Schizosaccharomyces pombe: one gene and its partners. The gene in region 3 interacts genetically with the main gene of each other region. Each region holds a gene or a part of one and is shown on either strand. Other genes may lie near its edges. The genes, in order: for3, pmp1 and kin1.

Evidence for each region.
Region 1: of kin1 (region 3) and for3, changing one enhances a phenotype caused by changing the other (phenotypic enhancement), as found in Schizosaccharomyces pombe (one study listed by BioGRID).
Region 2: mutations in kin1 (region 3) and pmp1 impair growth when combined (synthetic growth defect), as found in Schizosaccharomyces pombe (3 studies listed by BioGRID, with this or other methods).

Annotation. Positions count from the first base shown.
Region 1 is NC_003421.2:1,001,203-1,004,802, forward strand, and holds the start of for3 (formin For3), read left to right. Parts: upstream 1-1,547; 5' UTR 1,548-1,927; coding exon 1,928-3,600. Other genes in the region: SNARE protein Ufe1, read right to left, coding at 1-422, 511-745, 943-1,062. UniProt on the Schizosaccharomyces pombe protein: Involved in controlling polarized cell growth. Required for interphase actin cable formation and microtubule organization.
Region 2 is NC_003423.3:494,352-498,185, forward strand, and holds the start of pmp1 (dual-specificity MAP kinase phosphatase Pmp1), read left to right. Parts: upstream 1-2,181; 5' UTR 2,182-2,461; coding exon 2,462-3,298; 3' UTR 3,299-3,834. Other genes in the region: gamma tubulin complex linker Mto2, read left to right, coding at 391-1,584. UniProt on the Schizosaccharomyces pombe protein: Dual specificity phosphatase that dephosphorylates MAP kinase pmk1 on a Tyr. Has a role in chloride ion homeostasis by inactivating this pmk1 MAP kinase pathway.
Region 3 is NC_003423.3:2,692,175-2,696,008, reverse strand, and holds the start of kin1 (MARK/PAR-1 kinase Kin1), read right to left. Parts: upstream 1,678-3,834; 5' UTR 842-1,677; coding exon 1-841. Other genes in the region: emp46 (lectin family glycoprotein receptor), read left to right, coding at 2,837-3,834. UniProt on the Schizosaccharomyces pombe protein: Has a role in establishing the characteristic rod cell shape. Important for cell polarity and is involved in directing growth to the cell ends.

The DNA of each region.
Region 1 (3,600 bases), on a different chromosome or scaffold from region 3:
TAGTTGAGCGGATATTTCCGACTGAAGTCTAGTAATATCAGCCAAAGATTTCCCTGTATCACGTAAACGTTCCATAGTATGTTCAAATTCTTGGAGTAAAACATCGTTCTCTTGCTCAAGTTCTTGAAGTTGCTGTTGAGTAAAAAATGTTTGTAATTCAGATTCAGGGATCTCAACAGCTGAATTTTCATCAGTAGGATTTTTTGTTAAAAAGTCTGAAGCAATGTTTCGCTTTTCCTGACCTCGTTTTAATCTCAGATCTTGTAAATGATATAGAACAGAAGAAACATCGGAAAGTTCAGACTGCAGATACCACAGAACAGATGAATGGTGGGCGACTAAAGTTTCCTTTTTCGATAATTTACTAGGGTCTCTTAAACCTTGCAGCCAACCACTTTTTTTAGGGATTTGACTTTGTTGTTCTACTCATGCAATTAGCAAGCATGTCCCTGTGTTTTGTTTATAATTTAAGTAAACATAATTTTACCAGTATTAAAATTTTAAGCTTACCTTTCACAATCTCCTGCAACTTAGCTATTTGATGAATACAGCTACTGATTGCCGAAGAGACTTCATGTTCTATTTCATCCCTTTGAACCTCATCTAGCTCAAGCTTTGAAAGCTCCTCAAGTGAACACTCCATTAAAGGTTTTGAGAGTCTTTGGACATTTGAAAATGTTCTGTCCTTTAAATAAGCTCCACGAATCTTTTTCAAAAATACTAGAAGATTAACAATCGTTTCATGCTGCTAACGTTAGCAATTTGAACTCTCTGATTAGATATAGAAAGCAATAACAAAAGTTAATACTGTCAAAAATTTAAACCAATCCCACTCAATAATTAATCGTATATTATGGTAGCGCATCTCCACAGTGATCAATTGAGTTGAGGTTAAATTTCCGATTGGTTCAATAATTACAGAAAACTCGTCCTCAAACTTACAATTCTATATCCTTCAGCCAAAAAAGGATCCGTATAACTTATTCTTTTCAAAGGAATGTTTGCTGCATCAATGTCGCCATTTTTTGTTAATCCAAAAAACTCATTCGTACGACTCGTCATTCAGAATTTGAGATGCTAAGAAAGGAGAAATATAAATCCCGGGTTAAATGAATTTCAAATTAACAGAACAGATGTTTAGAAAATGGTAGCATTCCATATCCCCTTATGAATAGTGACACGGTAAACGGAATTGAGAGACTTAAAGGTGCTCGTAACAAATGTTCAAAAAAGCAAAAAAAAATACTCCATTGTACGAGTTTTGTTTATTTACTTCAAGTCGATGTCTACAATAAATGAAATTAAGCTAAAGTTTCGCAATTTTTGAAGTATTTAGAAATGAGCTATTTTCAAGTAAACAAACAAACGTAACCAGTTATACACCTCACAAGAATGGAGCGCAGTCAAATTGTTTACAATTTTTGAGTTATTTTTAAAAATTTAGCTTGAAAAAAGTTGTTTGTGTCCTTTATCTCGAAGAAATAAGGTTTTTGTTTTGCTGGTGTTGAGGTTGCTATATAATAACATGGTTTGGGCGACATAAATTCATCCTTTACCAACGCTCTTCGAAACGTTAAATTTGCATATTTATCAAGCATTTTATTGCAATAAGGCTAATATTATTAACTTTAATTGATTTTAACCTTCAGTATTTGCTTATTGTTATACAATATACAGTGATTACCCCTTTTTCTAAAAAGCTGTACTTTCGCATCACATCTGATACCTGCGTTCCTTTCAACTTTTTAATATAATCATCCAAACGATTTTAAAATCTGGTTGACATTACCGCGGAGCTTTAAGCTCTGCATTACGATATATTTTCTCTTTCACCAAAGATTGCTTTCTTCCTTACCATTTATTCCTTAATCAGCTTCGTTAGTATCTTTTTTACAACCAAATTACCAGTTTGGTATGTTAATTCATAATGGCATCTAAAATGCCTGAAGGGTCTCCCCCTACTAGTCGTTCTATTCAATCTCGAAATTCCAGTTACTCTACCTCTTCCAACGAACGTATTGGAACACCCTCTACGATTTCCCTATCTGAAAATTCAGATCTTTCTAAATTACAAAGTACTAATGATTTTGAGTCGCGAGAAGATCTCTCTCTTACTTCCGATGACAATAATGACCCCGAATATGTTATGTGCTACAACACTGTTTATCACCAAAAGACAAAAATAAATGATAAACTTTTATCCGAAACTGAGCAGTTACGTAAAATTTATCCTTTAGAATCCCGTGTATTTCCAAAACCTACCATTGTTAAAGAGATTACCAACGAGCGAACCAAGCGCTACACTTTTTATGACGATGATGCTCCTCTTACTAACCAACATACTGTTTTAGATGAAGCAACTTATAATCGAATTTTAAAAAGGATAGACTTTTTCATTGAAAAAGTCGTTGAAGTCCCACCTACTTACCATTTTTTATCGCTATTAAACGTTCAATTACGTATTCAACCAATTTGGTGGATGGATGAATTTGCTGAAAGAAATGGTATTGAAAGTTTACTGTCTGCTTTAAGAAACCTGGGTCACTATCCTGAACGTGCATCTAAAACACCTCTTGAATCCCAAATAATACAGTCATTATTTCACTGTTTGAACAGCGAAAACTGCCGTCGTCGTTATCAGTCTTCAGCTAAATGCTCTGTTCCAGGATTTAATGCTCTAGGTACTATTGCTGAGACTGTGCTTTCAAAAAGTTTAAATTCAGCTCGCATGGCTACTTTTCTCCTTAAATTCCTTTGTAATAAAAAGGGGTTGAGTTACTTCAAAGCTGTAATCAGGGCTTTCGAATGGCTCGTCGAGCAAAAGTTATCAAAAACTCGGTTTAGCGCATGGATGCATTCCTTTAATGATGTGATTACTGGTGTCCGAGTTTGTGCTGATTCATCTCCTCAAGCGATTGTTCACATGGACGAATTTGAAGATACGGACTGCTTGATTGATTACCTTGTTGCAACTTTAGCTCTCATTCGAGATTTATGTGCTGCTCCACCGGATTTGCAACTTAGGTGTGCTCTAAGGCATGAATTGTTATCTGCTGGTCTTCAAAAGGCCATCGACTCTTTGTTAAAATGGAGAAACAGACACGTCCGTGATGCTCTGCAATTACTAATCAAAGAGCATAATGCAGATGCTCGGCGTTTCCGAAGTGGTAGTGATGTGAATAATGTAGATAGGAAATGCGTAAAGAAACAGATGAACTATAGAGAAGAATCACATACACCTCATGGAAATACTACTCGAAAGACCTCTACTCCTGTATCTAATAATCGACCCACAACTCCGGAACAACAGGCTGTTTGGGATGTTTTTCAAAGAATTTATACTCGCTTTACGGGAAGTGAGGGGTCTAAAGAAAGTTTCATTAAACTACTCGAGTATTTTGTGACTGAACCCGACAACGGAAAAATTCAAAAAAGTATGCAGTTATTGACTCACACGCTTGAGGCACTGGAAGGTTTCAAAACTGCCAAAGCAGATACTAATGTCGGTCTAACGATCCTATCTCAAAGACTTTTAGACAAACTTGGTACCGCAGAGGAGATTGCAGAGTACAAGACAAAGTATAATGGAGCCATGCTTGA
Region 2 (3,834 bases), 2.2 Mb from region 3:
AGGAATAGTTAAAAAAGCATAGTGACATGTAACGAAGCGTACTGTTTGCCCGCACAGTCGAAGTTGCCGCTTAGAATTAAGCTTCGGTTAATAAAAACTAGCAAGTTATCCTAACGAACTGTGGGAAAAGCTTATTCAGGAAAACTTCGTGGATCCCGTTAAAATACGTTATGATAACTAATAGCGAACTGTCTTGTTGCTGTGTTTTGCAATATTACTTTTAAATAGTATAAGACAGTATGTTAAGTTAGGTTTTCAGAGTGCATACTCTATTCGTTAATTCGTGCTTTCAACTCTTTATCTTTCAAGAGTGCAAGAATCTCTTGCAAATTCGAGCTTGGTCTTGCAACTGTTTATTCTAATCCTCCAGCGTCTTGCTGGTGGTTTCGCATGTCTGAACATAATTACCAGTCTGATAGGGAAGTGGCAGAGGATCCTTTTCTTAATTATGAAGCCTCTGCTAATCAATTATCCTCAAATTCGCGCGAATCTACTCCAAGAGGTTCACCATGGCGCGCTGGTATGAGATCCGCATCTTTAATGACAGAACCTTTAGAAGATTCCATGTATAGCGATAATAATTATTTAGACAATGGGGTCTCTTTTACAAAAGATGAAAATCCTCTTTACTCGCCGTCTTGGCCGAGTTTGGCGGATGCAAACGTGAATTCAATGAAGTCTAATAATGCTATACAGGAGCATAAAGCAGCGAAATTTGTTTCTGAAAAGTCTTTGGAAAAAGTATCGACTGCAGATAATAACCTTGTGCTTCAGGAGCTTGAAAATCTCCGAGAACGCTTAAATCAAGTAGAGCTTCAACTCAGTGAGCGACCCTCTTCCTACTTAGGCTATCATAACAATCTTAGTCCATATCGTTCTCCTAACAGTTACCCTTCTCTTTTACCCTCTACTCATTCACCTCACTCACCGGCGCCGCTAAGCACGATGCAAACGGCTCTTATGCGGCTTCGCACTTATCATCCTTCGCCCATCATTTTAAAGCCCGTAGAGCAAGCTGTAAACCATGCAATCACCTTGGTAAACACCTCTCCATCGAGTGTGGTGGATGCGTTATGCCGAAGCCTTGCCGAATTGTGTCTTGGCTTGGTGCAAGAAGCGATCGATGCATCTATTTTGAGTCAACAGGAAAGCTCAAACTCTTTAGATCTTGTCCGTCATACACCACCATTGAATTATACCAGTTCTGTTGATTCTTCACCACAACGTATGGCCTCTGATAGTTATGGTAGGCCTTCTCTGCATTTAAATGACCCCTTTCCATCAGTTGATCTTCAATCAAATGAACTTTCTCATCATAATGTTAGAACAACTCTCTTTTCTGATGATTCCCGATTTCATTCAAAAATTCATACACATTCTACTCCTCCTTCTCAAATGTATAGTGCTGCATCTCATTTCCGGTACCGTAGCGATCCATCAACCCGTCATGTCTCGAATTCTACAAACAAATCGAGCTTGCATCCATCACCAACGTCTTTGCGAGTTGCTCATCCTATTATCCCCCAGAGGGCGTCTCCAGCATCACAGTCTTTTCCTTCTCTTCAAGACACTCCTTCCCCCTAGTTCGGCCTATTACAAGTTTAATTTTGAATCAATTTTTCTTTGTGTTTATCAAGTAAATCAGGTTCTTCTCATACATGTAAGTTCATACAAACATTGATTGAGGAGTGCTATCATTTAATTTGTCGTCCCTCTCGTACAAGTTTTTATTTTTTTTATATCGCTCATTTCTTTAAGAAGTTGCTAATCCTACTAGGACGTCTATTTTAATGTTATTGGATCTGGCTGCATCTCTATTTGCTGCATTGCTTGCTCAAACTTTATAGTATGAGAACGTCTTAAAATTTGAGGTTTTGTTCATCTTCTCATCAATGCTATTTTTTTAAAATTGATAATTCAGTGCAGATCTTTTCATTATTTAACCATATACGATAATTTAGATTTGGGAAGTGGATGTCTTCTTCGCAAGACGAAATGGTACATTGTGTTTAATTAGCTTTATTTCGCACCTGATTTATAAAATGAATCAGATAATTTAACTCGTTACTGTATTTACTTTTAGTATCTTTCTATATTCAAGTTTACCAACTTGTTAAAATGCGTTACCTCTGTCACCTGTAGAAAAGCATCAAATGCTGTAGCTTGGTAGGAGCTCACAATACTTCCATACATCTTTTCAGTCTATCATCAATTATTAGAACACTGAAAATTTGTATTCTCCAGTTATCTTCTTGCAAGTTAAATATTATAGAGGAAGCTAAGTTGAAATGGTTATTGGTGCCATGAATGTTTGAAGGTAACTCACAAAATGAATTCTGAATCAGCGAAAGAAAATGCAGAAGAGCAAATTGAAACGAAAGGACGTGCATTGAAGTCCTCAACAAATATAGAACGAAAAGAGTCTTCCTTACAACCGCTTCGATCAAAACTTCCTTTGAGAATGTCTCAAAAACTACCTCCCTTAAAAATTTACACCTCCCAACTTCCCCTGGTTTCCCACAAAAATATGTTGGAAAACGAAGAGGAAGCTAGTCATTCACAATTGTTTACTCCGTGTCCTGTCCCTCCATCTTTCCCGAAAGCATCTAAACCCAATTCTAATCAGCCGTACCCCAATGGCCCTGTTTGTATCTATCCCCCAAATATTTACTTATATGCCAAACCTACTATGCCCATTATTCAATCTTTTGATGTTGTTATAAACGTGGCGAAGGAAGTTTTGCATCCATTTCGCACTGATGGCCGTCATTATAGAGATTCTAAACATAACCTGGACATTCAAGTATTTGATCACATCGAATATGTTCACATTCATTGGGATCATGATACACAGTTTGCTTTGGAACTTGATAAGCTTGTTTCTTTTGTAGCTTACAATGCCATGCAACTTAACAAAAAGGTTTTAATTAATTGTCAAATGGGCATTTCTCGCTCTGCTTGTTTGATGATCGCGTTTATAATGAAGACATTAAACCTAAATGTTTCTGATGCTTATGAGTACGTTAAAGAACGATCTCCATGGATAGGTCCCAACATGTCTTTGATTTTTCAGCTTTCAGAATATCAACAAATTATTCGTAAAAATTCTAGTCAAGGTCCCTATCAATCGTCATCCTTGAAACAATCCAAAAGGAAATCTGAAGGTAATTTGCTTTTCCCTGAAAAGCCTCATAGTGCACAACTGCCTCTTGTTAGCCCGTCCACGTCTGAGTCAAGTATGTTCACAAATCTTCGAAGAACTCGAAGTAGCGGCAGTATAAGTAATGATGCTTCTTGACAATGCCAATTATTTATAAATACATAAAAAAAGGGAAATTTTGTCTATTCAAGTTCCGTTGTAAGTTGGTTTTTATACTCTTCCTTATGGGTCTTAATTCTAAGCTTATCAGCTGCTTTTAAAAAATATCCACTTTATTATGAAGACTTACGGGTCGCTCGTCAGTTATTCATATCATTCGTCATGGACTTTTTTACAGTTTGCATTGCTCGCTTCCAATGTATAGTTATAATTCTTGTTTAATACTTAGCTTGCAGATGTTTTATCGTTCTATGTTGCGAATTTGTATTTACCTCAGTTTTTTACTTCTAGTCTTTGGTTCTGGGTCGGTTTGTTTACCAATGAAAAAAACTAGAGTTTTCATGTCATTTGTCATTGTTATTGAGTGAAATTTGTGCGTCGTGTTATTTTCTAATTCATTATTCTATTTTTATGCTATTTCCTTGTTATTATTACTAAACTTAATATGAGGTTGTGAATATTTATTCAACATCATCAGTATCTATTCTTATTCCCAGTTAAAATGATGTCCCTTC
Region 3 (3,834 bases):
TGATGTCACCGGTCTTCGAAATTAAAATATTTTCAATTTTTAGATCTCTGTGCACCACAGAGTTTTGATGCAAATAACTCAGCGCACTTCCAATTTGACGCACAAATTTTCGAGCTTGCTTTTCTTTTAATTTTCCATGTGAAATAATATAATCCAGCATTTGACCACCGTCGACAAATTCAAAGACCATATAATAATGACTATTAGTAATATAAACATCTCTTGCCTCGCAAATATACGGATGACGGAGCAAAGTAGATAAGGCAGCTTCGCGAACAGTACGAATTTCCTTGTTTTTTTCTGATTGTGCTGCCTTAGTAGCCTCAGCAGAAGCAGCAGCTTTTGCCTTCGTTATGTCTGGATGAAGACGGGTAACTATTTTAATGGCAAACTGTTCACCTGTTTTTAAATGATGCGCAACTTTAACTTTCCCCATGCTACCAGCCCCAATGGTTTTACCTAGTACATAATTGCCTATGACTTTTCTTCTTTCACGAGGCTTCTCGTCAGCGCTATAAGAATGCCCAGATACAGGTACTCGCAGGCTATGATCCCGCGTACGAGAAGGAGATGCTGGTAGCGGTTTTCGACTTGATGGAGACCTTACGGGGCCATGATGTGGAGACTGAGAAGAAGGAGAAATATACCCAGGAGAAAAAGATAAACCCAGAGGCTCTACAGCGGATTTTGGTTGTGTAGAATAAGAAGGAGATTGCATAAAAGCATCCACCAGGTTGTGATGACGGTTGGGCGAGTCAGATATTTTAATTTTCGGCAACGCATTTAAAGCGGCAGACTTTGTCTCATTACCGACGGGTACGTTATTGGTACGGTACTCCATCAGGAAATGGGATCAACAGACAAAAAAGCAGATATAAAATTACTGCTTGAACTTTTGAGAGGCAAAAATTAGCAATCAACTCAAAATAAGCCGACTGAGTAATGTAATAAAATAATAACTTTGTGAAAATAATACAAACGTGTAAATCTTGGTTGACAAAAAATACTTTGTTATCGTAAATCGTGGCACCAGTTTCCTTGCGAACCTAAGATGACAAATATTACGAAAAAGCGTGAAATCCGAAAAATTAAAAAGAAAACAATAAAGGGACGAAGAAATTCTTGTACGAGATGAAAACAAATAAGCAAAGCGATCTAGTTACAAGAATGCTCGTGGCTTAGAAACGGATTAGTAGTCAATCAATATTGTTTGTGAAAAGAAGGATGCTCACAAGCCGATAAAGCCGTTTCTACAATCAAAACAAATAAGCAAAGCTTGAAAAGATAACAAATGAGATTATTAGAGCAGCAGGAAGATGGAAGAAGAACAGGTAAACCGGCTTAGCTTTTTCGATGAACAAGATAAACGACCAAAAAATATAGTTGTTTCGATAATTTTCGGTCGTAAAAACTCTTGTTTGAGAAATTCTAGTATAAACAGGTCTCCTGTTTCTTTTATTGAGCAACAGAAAGTCAAACGACTTTGAGATTTTCCCGCAATTTGTTTCCTGTCTAACAACCACTGCAAATCTATGCTACGTCCCCTAAGGCATTCAATATCTCTTCAATTCTTTCCTTTCAATTAAATTATTACAAAAAAAGGAAATGAAGCCAGAAACTGTAAAGGAAGGATTCCCTAACCCAAATGCACTGGCTTTGTTGTTGTACGGAATGGTTAAAGCAGCAGTGGAGATGTCATGGATGAATGCACCATGCTAAAGCATTCATTACGTTTAGTATCGATTTATATAGAGATAAGACTTCAAAATAGCCTACCAGTTACTATTTTCTTAAACTTTTATTTTTTTAATCTATTTCATGTATTTATCGACTTGTATTTTCCTTTCCCACACACCCTTTTAAAAGATCACGACTGCTATATACCGAGGCGCAAGCATGCTCCTTTATGGTTATGAGAAAAACATGGTATCTAAAAATGGATTTAGTATGCAGCAAACGACTCAATTGAAATTGTATACTTAAATCTTTTAAATATATGCGTATTCAAAAATACAATGAATAAATCACCATCACAGTTTCCTCATAAATGAACAAATACGCGTGTGTTTTTACATTATTCATACATCTGAATTATCGTGCCAAGTCAAAACTTTTTAAATTAACGAAATATTAAAGTTACTCTAGAGTTTTGTTTTAAGTATTTTTCATGTCTCTTAAGCTTATGAAATTTATTTCGATGGAACAATCAATTAATTTTCTTAACGACTAAAATTAGTCATCGACCATGACGGTACTCTTAATTCATTGATTGTTTTTTTGTTTTTTTAGTCACAATTTAAAAAAAAACAAAAACTGGTTTCTGTCTCTGATGTGGAGTAGAGAAATGGTCTTTTTTACTACATTTATTGCTTGTTATAATCATTAAATACACTTCGCATTGAAAAGTTGCATTGCACACAAACAATGCTTTCGAGCAATTAAACCAATTCATATACAATTTTACTGCAACATCCATAGTTGCTCAGAAAGCTGCCATGTTTAAATATAGGGAAGTCTAACATTACTCGTTAGGTGACTTTCGAAATATCATCCTTATTTACTACGATTGAGTTGGCGGTTGTTGTCATTTCACATTTACGGAATTTTGTAGATAAACTTTCTGACGGTAACTAATAAACCAAAAATACATCTATTTACTTTGGTTCCCGGTAACTAAAGGATTTAAGGACTGGAGTAATCTTTTTCTATAAGTAATAGAGCAAAAAGTCCCTGGTCTTAACCAAATAATCCTTTCTTTCAATTTCTGTTTCTCTCTCTTTTTTTTGGCATACTTTCACAATATTCATTTATCTATTTTTAAACGAAGTAAAGAAAAATGAAGTTTTGCTCCCTGTTTCATGTATTATCGTTTTGTTGTACATTGGCTTACGCCGTCCCTAAATCTCAGTTTTTGCAACTTCATTCACTAAGTAACGCCATTCCCGTTGAATGGAAATGGTACGGTAGTGTGGATGAAGATTCAGGTTACGTTTACTTAACCAGCAAAGACAGTAATGAAGCACGCTCTGGATCCCTTTGGTCAACTAGCGTTTTACGACAAGTTGGCTGGCAGCTATCGACTTCATTTGTAGCTCATGTATCAGAGAACGAAAACACCTTTTTTGCGATTTGGTATACAAGCGCTGTCGGTTCAGAAGGTCCAGTTTTTGGCGCCTCCGATAAGTGGGACGGCCTTCTGATTTCCCAGGAAATCGATCAAACTGGTAAAATCTTTGTTCGTGGCTATTTGAATGATAAAAGTTTTGAACTTGCTCAGTTTACTGACCCCGATCTTCCGCCCTTTGCTAAATGTACCATTGAGAGCTCTCCTGAGGCTTTGAACAATATTATTCTCAAATACGGTGACCAATCTGGATTAGAGTTATTTGTGAATGACAAGCCCTGCTTTCAAGTAAAAGATGTCATTTTGCCTCAGGGGTATTATTTTGGAGTTTCCTCTCAATCTACGTCTGCAAAAGACTTGGTGGCTTTATCGAACCTCAATATACTTCCTCCAGATACATCTAATAATGAAAATTTGAATCCTACCTCCAATACAAAGCAAAGCGTCGGTGACAATACTAGTCCTCAAACAGTTATTGACACTGAAGGTTTGAACGCAATAAAGGCTGATTTGGCAAAGCTTTTTAATCTAGTAGAATCTCAACGCCAGAAGATGGACTCTTTGCATTTTGCGTTGACTAATGCTTTGGAGCGTTTGAACGATATTTCTTCTACTTCACAGTTCCCAAGTGAAAGATTTAATGCCCTTGAAAAATTGCTACATGATTCTCTATCTGCGCAATCTTCCACTGCAGATGGTACTTCTAAACA